Linked DNA regions of Notamacropus eugenii. Each later gene encodes a partner of the first gene's protein in a complex. Links are inferred from orthologs where the notes say so. Each region holds a gene or a part of one and is shown on either strand. Other genes may lie near its edges.

Region 1 (8,063 bases):
ATGTATGTATGTATATACATATATATATGATTTCCTTTAATTTTCACAATAACCCTGTAAGGTGTATACTGTTATTATCCCTATTAACAGATGAGATAAAGAATTCTTAGAGAAGTTGTAACTTGTCCAGGTTTACATGGCTAGGAACTGTCTGAGGCAGGATATAAAACTTTGGAATCTGCCTGAGCCTAAGTTCACACTCTTAATGCCTCTAATATATCCTGTACCTGTTTATGAGATGTGATAGTGGCTGTGGTATAGCATAGTTATTTTTAATGACCTTGTTTTAGATAGAATTCTGTTTTTTTTAATATGGAAAAAATGCACCACTAACAGAATGCTGGATTGTTGGGCGTTTTTTTTTTTTGGTTGTTTGTTTCAGTTTTTAGGTTTTTTTAATTTTGTTTTTAGATTTTTGCGAAGCTTCTTTGTGGATTTTATTTCTTTTGGAAGCAAAATGAAATGAAAGTGTTTAATTTTGTTCAGATGATTTCAAAACCTGTAAAAGATTTTTTCTGTTTATATTGATGATATCTAGGAAATTGTAATTGTGTATATATTTTGAAATTTTGGAAACTACCTACAATGCCAACATTAGAAGAAATGTATTCCACTGGTCCTATGTGAGACATTAATTTTAAGCAGAAATTCACAGCCATATTAATCTAGGAATATTAAAATCAGTTTTCCTCATTTCCATAGAATTAATATAGTCTGTTAAATTTATAAGATCTCATTTGCGTGGGTTTAAATACAAAAACAAAAATAATTTCTAAATGCATGTGGGGGCAGAAGTACATACAATTAAGCTGTTTTGGCATGAAGGGAAATTTCCTGAAGGTGAAAAATTCTTAGACAGTTGGATTATTGACTAAATATCCTCTCTCCTGAAGTTACAGAAGAGTCTCAACATTTGAGTGCCATTCTGGCTGAGGTCAGGGATGTACTTTATAGGCAAACTATGTTATGTCAGAATTGCAGAAGAACAGATTAGCAGGGGTGAAAAAAAGTAAAGACCAGCGTAGATGTGCTGTCAGAATCACAGAAAAGCCTTCAAAAGAAGCAGACCCATCTTTGAGTTACTGTGAAGACTGAGCTTGTTCATAGTTTTGAGTCTCCTTTATGAAAACTTTGGAAACACAGTATTTCTCATCCTGTAGTGTTTCAGTTTTTTAATGTAGAATAGACATAAAGAGTAAAGTTCCTTCCTTTGGTGAGACCTGATTAAAAGTTAAGGCCTAAACATAGGCAGTACCTTGATTGTCTGCCTAAAAGAATTAGAACAACGTTTGGGAAATGACCATGTCCCTTCTCGTAGGACTGATCCAAACCAGGGTGATCCTGTCAAGGAACAGCTGCTATTCAAGAAAACCCTTCTTCCAGTCTGGAAAATGATTGCCAGTCACAGGTAAGTGTCTCAAATTGGACAGGAAACTGGTAGAATGGCTGTTCACCACTGAAGCATATTACCCATGTCAGAAGATAGGTCAGGCATAGTAGAAGATATGAATATATATCTTGGAAGTGGACCACATAAGACAGTCCTTTCCATCCATCAGCACCAGCAACTACCTTTAAAAAAAACCCTGCTTTTGTAGGTCTCTGGAAGAAAAAGTTGCTGTCATTTGAGTTTTAATTTCTAGTTTTTCTTCAGAAGTGGAACTTTAAGAGATAAAATTATAATTTTTGTTTTCTGAACCTATTATTTCATTGGAATGAGGAATTTCTGGAAAGAAACTCCCTCTATCAATGCAGAACAGTGCCTAGGAAACTAAGAGGTTCCTTTTATGCATGATCATATAGCCACTGTATGTCAGAAGTAGGTCTTGAGCCCAGATCTTCCAACTCCATGGTTGGCTTTCTATTCACTACACTATGCTATCTCTGAGATCAAATTTATATTTGAAATAAATGCTTCTTTCTAGTAGGACCCTATCAGACAGGGTCTCAAACAAGTGTCTGAGCTCTCAAGTGCCATGATATGTGGCATTAGCATAAAGTGTTTCTATATGTTTATACATCAAGAGGGAATTTACAGATTTTTCCACTGCCAGATGATGTTTCCTTGAAGAAGGCTGGCATAGAACAGCACAGGACTCTGTAGTTAACCTGTTCCATCTTCTTCCTGTTTTGATTCAAAGTGACCTGCTGGGGCTCCCCTTATCCTTTCTGGGTTTGTCCCTTACCAGGTTCAGCAGTCCATTTCTGAAACCTGTGTCAGATAGGCAAGCTCCGGGGTACAAGGATGTGGTGAAAAGGTCAGTGAAGAAAGGGGGAAGGAAAGGTTGGTTGCTTCATATCCTTGTGCCTGTTCTCTTTTCATTCTGTTTCCCTGTATTTTAAATGATCTTGTGCCTTATTTGCTGCACTTAGATATAAGGAAAATAATGTTTGTGAGCAGAAGATGCTAATAAAGCTATGAAGAAGTCAACATCTTTCTTTTGGGAGGAAAAGGAGGGTGAGAAAAGACAAATATATCATTTGTAGCAGTGTATACTCTTGAGTCTAAAAGACTTTGGTTAGTACTTTGTAATTTCTGAACATTCCCTTTTGAACTAAAACTTTCAAAAGGAGAATCTGCATGGTCATTGTGAGAACAGTCAGTGTTGGTCATTTCTCACTTATGTTTTTCAAGCTCACCAGGTATAGTCACTGTTGTCTGTTAAGCCCAAGAGAAACTTAGGGAGTTAATATGGGTGTATTAGGGCAAGAAAACGCAATTGGATGCCACATATAAATGAAAGCAGAATTTTATACTAATGTAGCAGTTTTCATAAAAAAATATTTTCTATGTAAGAAATACCCATTTGGGTTATCTTTCCTACATGAGTCCTTTCTTCTCTGGTTTTCTTCACCTGAGGGAAAAAAAAATCATTCTTCATAGCATATGAATTCTCTAAGGAAAGTGGGAGTAAATAAATCAAAGATATTTACAGTGCTCTGCACGCTGAGCACTCAAATGCTTTTTTACTAACCATTTGAATTTCACATTGTGATATCAGGAGCAGTAGCTCCTACTGAAGGGGGAGGTCAGTTATCTAGAAGAATTCATTTGAGCAGTTTATATTCCATATGACTATGTAATTCCTCCTGGTCTTTCTTGGCCACTTGCAGACCCATGGACTTAACGACTCTGAAGAGGAACCTCTCTAAGGGACATATTCGCAGCATGGCACAATTCCAGCGTGATTTGATGTTGATGTTCCAGAATGCTGTAATGTACAATGACTCTGATCACCATGTTTACCACATGGCTATAGAGATGCAAAAAGAGGTCCTAGAGCAGATCCAGGTATTATATCTTAGGGACTTATAGGAAAAGGAGGCCACTTTTCAGAGCATTCACATAAGTGGTGGTCTAAGAGTAGTGCTCTTTCCCTTAGAGATTAGGGGTCTTGACAAAGTGTGGTCCTGAGCCCCTCAGAAGTTCACAATGAAGTTTATATAGCCCAGCAAATCCTAAGCCCCAGTTAGTGTTTCTTTGGAGGAGGCTGGTATAGATGAGCATGGGACTTTGTAGTTGTTCCATCTTCCTGTTTTGATTCAAAGTGACTTTCTGGGGCTCCCCTTATCCTTCCTGGGTTTGTCCTTTACCACATTCACCATTTTTTGAAACCTGTGTCAGAAGGCAAGCTATGGGGTACAGTACGTTGCAGCTCTACATGGAGAAGTAGAATGCCCAAGGATCTTATATTTAGGGTTGGGAAGTTACCTTGGAGATCATCTCCAGGGGTTCTTAACATTTTTTTGTGTCCTGGACCCCTTTGGCAGTTTGGGGAAGCCTATGAACCCCTTCTCAGAATGTTTTTTTTTTAATGCATAAAATACATAGAATTACAAAGGAAGTGAGATATTGAAATAGTTATCAAAATAATAAAACAAATTTACAGATGCCAGGTTAAGAACCCTTGATCTAATCCATCACCCTCATTTTACAGATGAGGAAACTGAGGCCCAGGGAGGTTGTGACTTGCCCAAGGTAACATAGTTGGGATTTTAACCCAGTTTCTCTGACTCCAAATTCAGGGCTCTTTTCACTATGCCACAAGTAGTCAGGGGAAAACAGCAGAGATGGGTTCTCACAAGAGCTGGGGAAAGAGGAAAAGAATCCTGTGAAAGGATGAATTTCTGTGGTGAGATCTTGCAGGTTGCCTGGATCTGTTTCCCAAGCCACAAGTCAACAGCCACTGAGAGGAGAAACTGCAGCCAAACTTGTAAACAAGAAGCTATAGCCCTTGAGCTGCTTTTGCTCGTATAAATTTGACATCATTCCATCTTTGCCCATTCCCAAGGTGTGTGGCAGTCAGAAAAAGGCCTGCATGTGAAGACTGTATGCCTTACAGTTGCACTGAGTTGTTGTCATAAAGTTGTTAGCTGGAGAAGGGGAAAGGATATGTAGCTAGCTGCTCTCACGATGCGCAGACATCCAGGTGCTTTTTGAGATTTACAGCTTTTTCTCCTCTTGCCTGGCACAGGTGCTAAGTATTTGGTTAGACAGAAGAAGAGATTTGAGTCATGTGGACTGATAAACCAGGGGGCCACCGAGAGCCCTTGGGCTCCCCAGCCGGGCGGCTCCGGCGGCCAGCCTGACCTTCCCCCCGCCCTCGGCTCTGAGCGGGCCGAGGCCGTTCCGGAGTCAGGGGCTCCCCGCTCGGCCCTGGCCTGGATCGCATCTCAGAGATTGTTCGAGTTCATGAGTTATCCTTTGTTCGTAACAGTGAGAGGCCTTAAGTCACCCAAGAAGCCCGGGCTGCTGCTAGTCAGGGACCCCGGAGGAGCGGGCGGGGCCGCGGTTTGTGCCTCCTCCCAGGGGCCGCCCACTTCCACCAAGCTTCTTGTGTGACCCATCTTAGAATAAACGTTGTTTAACAAACTTGGCACGGCTTTTTAATGGCGAGGGGGGAGGGAGCCCGGCGGAGCACGGTTCTACCCACGAACCAGGCCTTGTTTGTCAGGGGGAGGGGCGAGGCCGCCACCGAGCGTCCTTGCTGCCTCCTAGCAACCGGAGGGGCCGCGCTGGGCCCGGGCAGGGGCGGGCTGCTGGCTCGGAGGGCCGGCCGGGCGGAGGCGAGACACCGGCAGGGTCCGAGAAGGCCCTGCCAACCCTCTGCGGCCACGCCGGTCACCGTCACCCCCTGTCTGGGCTTCTGGGGCCTCTTCTGCAACAACTGGGCATCCTGCCGTGCCCAGCCCCCGGGGGGGTTGGCGGCGCGGTGCTGGTGGGGGTGGGGAAGCGCCCCGACGGGCTGACCGGAGGGGCGCTGCCCCCGATCGTCAGGAGCCTCGCGGGGCAAGTGGGCCTGGCCTCCTTGCAGTTCGTGGCCGTGGGGAAGCGAAGTGTATCCCGACCGCCAGGATGGAGCTCTTAATGCCCCCGCCCCAGATTTACGTAGAGAGGACCCTGGCCATCATCAAGCCAGACATTGTGGACAAAGAGGAGGAGATAGAGGGCATCATCCTCAAGTCTGGGTTCACCATTGTGCAGGTAAAGGGCTTCATTTCATTGCCTTTCTGAATGGCTGTTTCATTCCATACTAATGAAAAGTTAACCAATAGTATCCTTTTTGTAGGATTTAGTGAATGGGTTTGGGTTTTTTTTTTTTGATTTGCCAAAAAGTTTATTTACCCATTTATGGCAGGACTTGGATGATAATGATTATTTATCAAATAGAATATAATTGGGTATCCTGGATCCCTTAGTTTCTAAAGAGCTAAATATTCCATGATCTAATTACGTACAACAAACCTCCCCTACTATATTGCCTCATTAGAAAGTGTTTTTAAAAGGAAAAGAATAAGCATTCTCTCTTAAAAGAGAAGCTTTTTGAATCTTAAATCTTTTGTATTACCTTCATTTCCAAATATAACCTTCCCACCCCATACCCAGGGACGAGCTCTTACAACAAGAATTTTTAAAAGAAGAAAAAAAGCAGTTCAGCAAAACTAACCAACACATGGACTGGGCCTGACAGTGGAGGAAGCCCCCTAGTCCCTCGCTTTTACAGGAAAGGGAAGAAGATCCAACCAGTCTGGAGAGCGGGTTGGAACTGTGCCCAAAGGGTACAAAACGGGCATACCCTTAGGCCCAGCAATACCACTTCTACAGCTGTATCCCCAAGGGATCATACAAATGGGAAAGGGTCCCACATGTACAAAAGTATTTATAGCAGTACCCTTTGTGGTGGCCCAAAACTGGAAACCGAGGGGATGCCCCTCAACTGGGGAATGGCTGAATAAATTGTGGTATATGAATGTAATGGAATACTATTGTGCTATAAGGAATGATGAACAGGAAGACTTCAGAGAGGTGAAAGGAGCTGAACCAGGAGACCTTTGTGCACAGCAACAACCACCGTGTGCGAGAGTTTTTTCTGGTAGACTTGGAACTTCATTGCAATGCAAGGACTTAAAAAAAATTCCCAATGGTCTTCTAAGGCAAAGTGCCCTCCATACCCAGAGAAAGAACTTTGGAATTCAATCCAAAATGTAGCAGATCACTTTTTTGTGCATGTATTACATTTTGGTTTGTTATATGATTTCTCCCATTCAATTTAATTCTTCTACACAGCATGACTATAGTGAAAATGTATTTAATAAGAATGTTTGAGTAGAACCTATATAAAATTATATGCCATCTCAGGGAGGGAAAAATAATAATCCAAGTTATATAGTAGTGATTGTAAAACACTGAAAATAAATAAAATTAATTAAAAATAAATAAAAATAAAAAAACAAAAACAGAAAGGGAAGGAGGTGCATTTTCTCATCTCTTCTTTGGGCACCAACTTGGTGGTTGTAATTACATAACATTTTTTTTTCCCATTTGTGTTGTAGTGATGTATTTTTTCCAGTCCTGCTTACTTCATTTTGCATCAGTTCATTTAAATTTTCATGTCTTTGAATTCTTCATATTCATTATTTTTTGTGAAACAGTAATATTCCATTATGTTAATGTTTGACCATTTGTTAAGCCATTCAACTCTTTGTTACCACACCTATAATTATTTTCGTATTTATAGGACCTTTCTATTTTTGACCTCCTTGTGGCATATGGCTAGCAGTGAGATCTGTAGGTCAAAAGGTATGAAAGCTTTAGTTATGTTTCCTTCTTAATTCCAAATTGCTTTCTAGAATATTTGGACCAATTCACAGCTTTCTCAGCAGTGTATTTGTGTGGTTGCATTTCTGTAAGCCCCTCCAATGTTGACCTTACTGTCTTTTATCATTTTGACAATATTGGGGTTTAGAAAGTTGGGATGTGAGGTGAAACTCAGAATGATTTGCATTTCTCTTATTAGCAATTTTTGCAGCAATTTTTTTCGCATAGTTGTTCATTTACAGTTCTTCTGAGAACCATTCATGTCCTTTGACCAAATTACTCAGAGAGAAATGACACTTGACCTTGCTATTTATTAGTTCCCATTATACCTTGGACAGCAGACCCTTTGAGGAAGTGAGGTAGAACTATAATTTCATTGGTTTAACTCCCAGAGAGGATGTTTTTTCTACCAATCAATAGATCAATTAGCAGGCATTTACTAAGCTCTTCCAGGCCAGTAACTTACAGTCTCAAGAGAGTTGCATGGGGGCTCCTGTAGGGTGACTTGTCTAGAGTCAGAGAGCAAGGATATATCAGAGCCAAGATATGAATCCCAGTCTTCTTGTCTTCAATTCTCAACTCTTCTTTCTATTTCTGTTTGCTTATTATATGCTGCTTTTCATTAGGCCTTTATTATAGATATTTGATGCAAAGATTTTCCCCCTGATAAATAGCTTCCCTTCTTACCCTCGTTCATTTTTTTCATGCAAAAGCTTTTCAGTAAAGTAAATCCACATAAATCATCAGCATTCTTATATATCACAAACAAAACCCTGAAAGAAGAGATAGTAATACATACCCCATTTACCCCAAAATAACTCTAGACAGTACAAAATATCTGGGGAGTACACCTGCCAAAACAAACCCAGGAACTACATAAACAAAATTATAAAAAACTACACAAAATCAGCTTTAAATAATTGGAGAAATATTAATTGTTCATGGGTAGGCAGGGCCAATATAA
Region 2 (7,930 bases), about 140 Mb from region 1:
CAATACCAGTCAATATTTGAGATATATAAAAAGGTAGCACACCTTCAGTGACAATACTATTATATAAATATTACTTTTCAGATTTTGTTCTTTCTCCTGCTTGTGATAAGGGTCTTTTTTTTTATTTATCAAGATCCCACTTCTTTAGCCCATTTAAAGTGTCTACACATGGCTATTTCTATCTCTTCTCTATAAGAAAGAGTTTAAACATCTAACTCCCCAGACATTTTGAAAGAACACAATAGTTTATATATCAGAATTTCATGTCTTAGGGATACCATAATATTATTATGAAAATGTCTTATAAAAGAATATCTGTGTGACATTGAAAAAATTGTTTTACTTCTTTCGGCAACAGTTTCCTTGCTTATGTAAGTCTGGGGGTTTTCACCCTGAATGTAGTCATAGAAGGCCTATACCAGGGATGGGGAATATACAGTCTCAAGGCCACATATGGCCTTCTAGGTTCTTGGTCCTAGGTTCTTCTAGGTCCTTTTGACTGAGTCCAAGTTTTATAGAACAGATCCTTTTATTAAGGAGATTTGTTCTGGGAAGTTTGGATTTTAGGTCTAGAGTATAAGTCAAGGCCTTAGACAACTAGAGGAAATGAATCAAAGAGATAAAGAAGGTTAAGATGATGAATTTGGAAGGAATAAAGTGTTTTGATCATTGAATGAAGATGATTGAAGCTACATGCATGCACAAACACAAACACACACATTCACTAAGTTGTCTTGTGACTGGCTGGAAGAATCAGACATATCTTTTAGCCCATTTGTGATATACATCAAGCAAGTTCAAATATAAGCTTTCTAGCAGTGAGTTGAGTGATGATTCAATTCAGTGAGTAAGAATTCCTTTGATGAAATTGCCCTGGGGTTTGGGGTGGTGAGGAAGGGTAGAGTTTTTCTTCATTCCTTTCTCCTTGAATAAATGATGACTTTGCGAAGTTCAAAAAGTTGAAAGATCTGGAATTCTCATCCAGATCAGTAGCAATGTCTCTTGATAAGTGGTGGCTAATGACTTTTAAAGCCTAGCAGAGAGCTATACCTAAGGGGTACTTCAAAGGACTTACAGTAACCAGAAGGTATTAATTTACTGTTTGGTTCTGTGTGCTTTCTAAGTTTGAGCCCAATCTCCCCAAAGGCCTTTTGTGAGAGCACCATGATACCCTCAAGCAAAGTACAGAACCAATTCTTCCCCCACAGCATACAGGAGGAATTTCCTTATAAATTGAATACTTTCCTTGTAAATTTCATCCTGCCTAAAGACTGCTAAAAACAGACTTTATCAGGAGTAGAAAATTTTTCTCCCTGAGACATTGCTATTTATATGACCTTGGCTATCTGGGGACTCAATATATGCCCCGCTCCAAGTATATCCCCAGCTTGGGGACTGTTTCTGTAACAAGTGTCTTTTTACATCTCCTTAGTAAATATCTTTTCTCAAAGCCAGTTACATCAATAGGGAGGGCCATCAGTGGGGAAACTTATTAGTGGGAATACAAGAAAACCAGATCTTCAGTGCTATCTCCAGAATTCTGCTCCCTCAGTAGGTATAGTAGCAGCCCTCTAGCAACCTGGCCCACCAATGTGAGTGTGATTTGAGGGAGTGGCTCTAGAGAGGATGCTACTTCTGTAAAATGGGGGAGGGAAGAAACTAGATGATTTCTTAGGTTTTTTCCAACACTAATCTAGTCAGTTGTGTTCAGAACTGATAGGACTTGAGACTTTCAGGGAATAATGAAGAGTGAAATAAATATAATCAAGGGAATGTTGGATACAGTAATAGCAATATTGTTTGAAGAATAATTGTGAACACCTAAGTTATTTTGAGTATTATAAATATTCAGATCAATTACAAAGCACCTATGAAGGAAGATGCTGTCCACCTCCAGAGAAAGAACTGATAAATAGAAATATGTAATACATATTTCATATACATATATGTGTATATATGTATGTATGTATATGTGTATATGTATGTATACATATATGTGTGTGTATATATATATATATAGAGAGAGAGAGAGAGAGAGAGAGTGTGTGTGTGTGTGTGTGTGTGTGTGTGTGTGTGTGTGTGTGTGTGTGTAATGGTGATGGCCTCTAGTGTGGGTGAGGAGGGATAAAGGGAGATAGTTTGGACCTTAAAATGTAACTAAAAAAAAATAAATTTAAAAACAAAGAACTGATAGTATTTGACTACTGATTAAATAATAGTAATGATTCACTTTATATAGCACCTTACAAGGCACTTTCTGCACAATAGCCCTGTGAGATAGGGAAAACATGAATTACCATTCTTATTTTACATATGGAAACATACTTCCTGTCATACATAGTAAGTGCTTAATAAATACTTATTAAGTAAGGCTCAGAGAAGTTAAGAAGCTGTCTGGAAGCCAAGTATTCCACTATACTACATTGCCTGAGGGGGAAAAAAGAATTTAAAAATTATAATAAGGTCTCCAGCATAGCAGCCGGTGTGAATGGTGGTGCCATTGACAGAAATTACAAAGTTAGATGAAGAAATAGGTTTGGGGGGAAAAGGAAAGAGAATTAGTCTTAGAAGTTGAAGAATTTACTTCCAGTCCTGACTTGATTCATTTCTACTTCTATGACCTTGGACAATACACCTAATCACTAGGGACTTCAATTTTCTCATCTGCAAAATGAAGGTCTGGGCTTAGGTGATTTCTATTGATCCTTCTACCTTTAAACCTTGTGACTCAGATAGTTGGTAAATCTTACCATTTAAATAGGTGTCTTCATGTGGAGATGACCAGTAGGCACTTGAAATAAAGATCAAGAAGAGATCAGGGATAGAAATAAAGATTTGAGAGTCATCTGCATCCTGACAATAGCTGAAGTTATGAGAATGAATGAGATTATTAGGGGGATAGTGCAAAGAGAAGACAAAAACCAAGGGTAAAAACACTAACCTTAAACAGCTGGGAAGAGTTCCAGATGCTGAATGGGTCGTTAGAAAGGTCAGAAGGGAACAAACTGAGACTGGTGTCTCTGAAGCCAAGTGAACAAAGACTATCCACCAGAAAGAAATAGTCAAAAGTGTCCGATGCTATAGACAAGTCAATGAGGATGATGACATTTATTTTAAAGCCATTGTTTGGGAAGCATTATGAGGTCACTGACAGTCTTTGAGTAAGCAATAAAGACGTGGGCGATGAGCCAGATTCCAAGTGTCTGGTGAAGGAAAAGAGAAATGCATGTATAGCCAACTTTTTAAAGAACTTTGTCAGTGAAATGGAAGTAGGATCATAGAAAGTTGGCTAAAGGGAAATAAAGGAAAGAATGTGTATGAATGTGTGTAGCACAGGTTTAGATTTAATTCCTGCTCCTACAGTCAGCTTGGGTCCACAGAGTATAACTGCTACATTAGCTATGATCACCTTTCATGGTACAAAAGGTGGCCCTAAGGAGTTTAGGGTAGTTTTCTAAAATTATTGCTCGTAAACTCCTCCTGGTGTGCTCCTCCCCCTCCCATAATCATCATCAATTGAAATCAATTAGTCAGCCAGATTTAATTAGGTTTTAGAAAGAGATATTTATGGTCATTGGCATTCAAGAGTGCCATTGACCCCTTTTATTAATTATCTGCTGGCATGATTAATAAAATGATTAATTGCCCAGAAATTATATCTTCCCCAATGGGGAAGGGCACAGCCCACTACTGAGCAGACCTGAGACTGAAAACCTTCTCATGTCTCTCCAGAATCTGCCTCAAGTCTCAACTGGGAGACCTAAAGGCAGAGGGATATTGGAGAGAATTGACAGACAAAGTGAAGCTAGACATTGTGATCAAGGACTGGTTTGCCACCAGAAATGACTATGGTCACACCTACCATATCTGTAACTTATTGTGAGAGGTCTTGTCTGAGTTTAAGCCAGCCCCTGTGTACATTGACCAATGGAGTGGTGCTGAAAGGAAAGGGTCTCCTACACATTCTGCAATTGCCCCTCTTCAAGAGTCCATTACATCTACTTCCAGTACGGAAGCAAATATACTCAGTTCTGGGCTCGATAATATGGCCTGAGTGTCACCAGCAGTAGCATCACCATTGGCCCTGAAGTCATTAGGAAACCCATTCCTGCAGAAAAGGAGAATCTCTTCAGGAGATAGCCTAAGACCCTTCCAACAAAAACCGAGGACATAGAGAATGATGAAGCAAATTGTGGTACATGAATAGAATAAAACATTATTGTGTCATGGGTCGGGATGAATATGAAGAATTCAGAGACTTATATGAACTGATTCAGAGTGACACTGAAGAGCCATGTGACCCACGGAGAGGTACTTAACCTCTGACTGTGAATAGGGGTATAGTTCATGATCAAACAAGAGATAAGATCATGGGAGGTAAAATGGATAACTTGTATTACAGTAAGTTTAAAAGAGTTTGTACAAACAAAACTAACACAGCCAAAATAAGAAAAGCAGAAAACTGGAAGGGGAATTTTGCACCAAGTTTTTGGGGTTTTTTGATAAAGGTCTCATTTCTGAAAAATATAAGAAACTGAACCAAATCTATAAAAACAGGAACCATAGACCTTGGGCAAGTCACTTAACGCCAATTACCTCACCTCTCCTTTCCAAAAAGAAAAAAAAATAAGAACCATTCCCAAACTGATAAATGTACAAAGGATATGAGCAGGCAGTTTTCAAAAGAAGAAATCAGCACTCTCAATAGTCATTTGAAAAATGCTCTACATAATTAATATAGAATTGCAAATTAAAACAACTCTGAAGTACCCTTTTATACCTATCAAATTGGCCAAAATGACCAAAAATAAAAATGATAAATGTTGGAGGGGATGTAGAAAAAATAGGTACACTAATTCATTGTTGGTGGAGCTATGAATCAGCCCAACCATTCTGGAGAGCAATTTGGAACTATGACCGTAGGGCTATAAAATTGTGCATACCCTTTAACCCAATACCACTACTAGGTCTATATCCCAAAGAGATCAAAGAAAAAGGAAAAAGACCCATGTATGCAAAAATACTTATAGCAACTCTTTTGTAGTGGCAAAAATGCCCATCAACTGAGGAATGGCTGAACAAGTTAGTGTAAAAGAAAGTGATAGAATGCTTTTGTGCTGTAAGAAATGATGGAGATGGTTTCAGAAAAATCTGAGAAGACATATGAAATCATGAGAAGAGAACCACGAAAATATCATACACAATACTAGCAAGATTGCAATGAAAATCAACTGTGAAAGAATTAGCAACTGATCAATACAATCATCCATGACAATTTCAAAGGATTCATGATGAAAAATGCTATCCACCTCCACGAAGAGAACTGATGGGCTCTCAGTGCTGATTGGAGAATTTTTTTCTCTTTATTTTTCTTGCTTCCTGCCCACCCATCCATCTTCCATAACATGGCAAATGTGGAAACATATTTTGCATTACTTACTGTATATAATAAATATTATATTTCTTGCCTTCTCAATGGGTAGAGAAGAGAGTAGAGGGAGAAAGAGAATTTGAAACTCAAAAATTATTTTTAAACAGAAATTATGTTAGAATTTAAATGTTAAATTTAATTTTTAAAAGAGTTATAAAAAGAATTTTTTTTCAAAACAGAAAGAAGAAAGGTTGGGGAAGACTACCATCCTTTGCAAAAGATCACAGATATGGAACTCTGAAACACTGGGAACAGCTTTGAGAGTTAGGAGGAACTGAAGAGAAAAGCCTGGGTCCCAGTTTAATAATTGGTTATTAATATGATAGTATAATAATAATTTTTCTCAACTGGGATACAATAAGGTATGCCTGGAGATAGAACAAAGGAGTAAACAGAAGGGGATAGTGTAGGATTGAGTTGGTTCACCAATACATGGAGATAGGGATGGGAAGATAAGCATAGCCAGTGCAGGAATGATGTCCTGGGGAAAAAAACACTGAAGAGATTGAGGGAACAGAGATCACTATGAAGATGAAGAACAGTGCTAGAGAGAGTACTTCCCGAGAGAGGAAGCCCCTGTTGCTAGAACCAGAAGAAGCAAAAGCCTAACCCCAGGCTGGAGACATTTTTATCTCTCAACTTCTCAACCTTGGTTTTCAATAATCACTTTTTATAAAGCCAACCTAGAGTGGGTTTGAGGGAGGAGAGAGTGAGGTCAGCACATGGACGGTTCCTAGCTTTCCAGCCACATCTGTGTCTCCAGCTTCCTTACTCCAAACTATAGATGAGTTTCCTTCCTTGGTCATTGATGTATAGAACACAAACATTTTATTGAAGTAAAAACAACAACCCCATTTGTCTGTAAAGCCACTCTTGCCCCAAAGAACTCAAGGGCACCAAAGAAAATGGGGTCCCAGGGTCCTCCAATTATGTCTCACCTCAAGATTACTTCCTGGAGGCCAAATTCCAACTGCCAGGCCAAGGAATGGGTAGATGTGAGCCTGCCAGGTTGCTACAAGTTATAGGACCCAGGGTCTCACTCATTTTTAAAATATCTAAGGCCATGACTCTTTCAGGACTACCACCACCACTCAGCAATATCTCCTCTTTTTAGTTCATAAGGTCCAACTTTATCACCCAATCCAGATCCTAATCGTGATTATCTACCAATCCCCGAGACATTCCCTGTCCTTCCTCAATAAGTCTGGTGCCTGGCTCATGGTCTTTCTCTTCCCCAACTCCTGCCTAGATACTAGGGGATTTCAACGTATATATGGATGATTCCTCAGATCCACTTACTTCTCATTCTCTCTATATATTCTTTATACTCAACCTACTTCCTCCTCTGGTCCATGTCAGCTATACACCATGAGGGACATAGGTTTGAACTTGCCATCCCCCACAAGTGTTCAACTTCCATGTTCAAGAGCTCTGAAATTGCTTTGTCTGACCATGTAATTTTGTCATTTCATCTCTCCCTAGCATTATTCTCCATCTTCATAGTGATCTCTGTTTCCTTAATCTCTCCAGTTTTTTCCCAGGACATCATTCCTGCACTGGCTACACTCTTCTCCCATCTCTATCTCCATGTATTTGTGAACCAACTCAATCCTACACTATCCTCTTCTGTCAACTCTTTTGTTCTATCTCCAGTCATAACTTATTATATCCCAACTGAGAGAAATTATTATTATACTATTATATTAAAAAATCAGTTATTAAATTGGGACCCAGACTTCTCCCTTTAATTTCCTCATTCTTGTTAAAGTCAGTCACTGAAGGCCATGACTGATTGATGAGATTATTCCTAGTTCCCAAGAAACATGCTCTTCAGTGTTGGGCAGGGATCCCACCCAACTAGATCTTACTTCTGTTTAGAGTATAATAAGACTCCAGTCTATGTGTATCCTTACCCTGGAGAAAGAGAGCCCTGCCCTTGTATCTCTCCATTAGAGTTTAGTGTATCCCAGCTTATGAAGGGGAAAACCAACCAGAGTAGTCTGACTGGAGAGAGATTCACCTGTCCAGATTACTGGAGGAGACTGTTTTGCATGACTAAGCCATATGCTCAGCAGGAGGAGGTAGACTTCTAATTTACCTCCTCATTAACTGTCCACCAATCAGGGTTGATTTACACTCATCAAGGGAATTTCAGGGTCTTCATTAAACTTCTTTGGTTATTGAGAGAAACTACAGAACCTCCATTTATTATTAGCTAGTCTAATTAATAATCTGATTATTAATTACCAAGAAAAAAGAGGTGTTTATTAATGTAGTATGGCAAGAATTATTTAGCACTAAATGTCCACCCCTCCCCCCCCAAAAAACCTGTGACACTCTCCCTCCCATAAAAACAGAATCCAATGGAAAGTTGGCTTAAGAGTATGAAGTACACATGGCAGAATGGTAATTCAGAGCTCCTAGTTGCTAGAAATCTCTTTTTCCCTTTCTGGTTTACTCATGAATTTTCCACTAGACATGACTTTCTAGACTAAACTA

What was found. The genes of interacting proteins can lie anywhere in the genome.
Region 2: NME5 (region 1) and DYDC1 share a complex: the UniProt entries of both Homo sapiens proteins name them as parts of the axonemal radial spoke complex. The link is inferred for Notamacropus eugenii from reciprocal best matches to the Homo sapiens genes NME5 and DYDC1.

The regions. Positions count from the first base shown.
Region 1 is NC_092872.1:365,279,049-365,287,111, reverse strand, and holds the start of NME5 (nucleoside diphosphate kinase homolog 5), read left to right. Parts: upstream 1-4,981; 5' UTR 4,982-5,356; coding exon 5,357-5,485; intron 5,486-8,063. Other genes in the region: BRD8 (bromodomain-containing protein 8), read left to right, coding at 1,319-1,408, 2,190-2,258, 3,115-3,292, 4,476-4,526. UniProt on the Homo sapiens protein: Functions as part of axonemal radial spoke complexes that play an important part in the motility of sperm and cilia. Does not seem to have nucleoside diphosphate kinase (NDPK) activity.
Region 2 is NC_092872.1:227,290,594-227,298,523, reverse strand, and holds the start of DYDC1 (DPY30 domain-containing protein 1), read right to left. Parts: upstream 3,069-7,930; 5' UTR 2,942-3,068; intron 1-2,941. UniProt on the Homo sapiens protein: Functions as part of axonemal radial spoke complexes that play an important part in the motility of sperm and cilia. Plays a crucial role during acrosome biogenesis.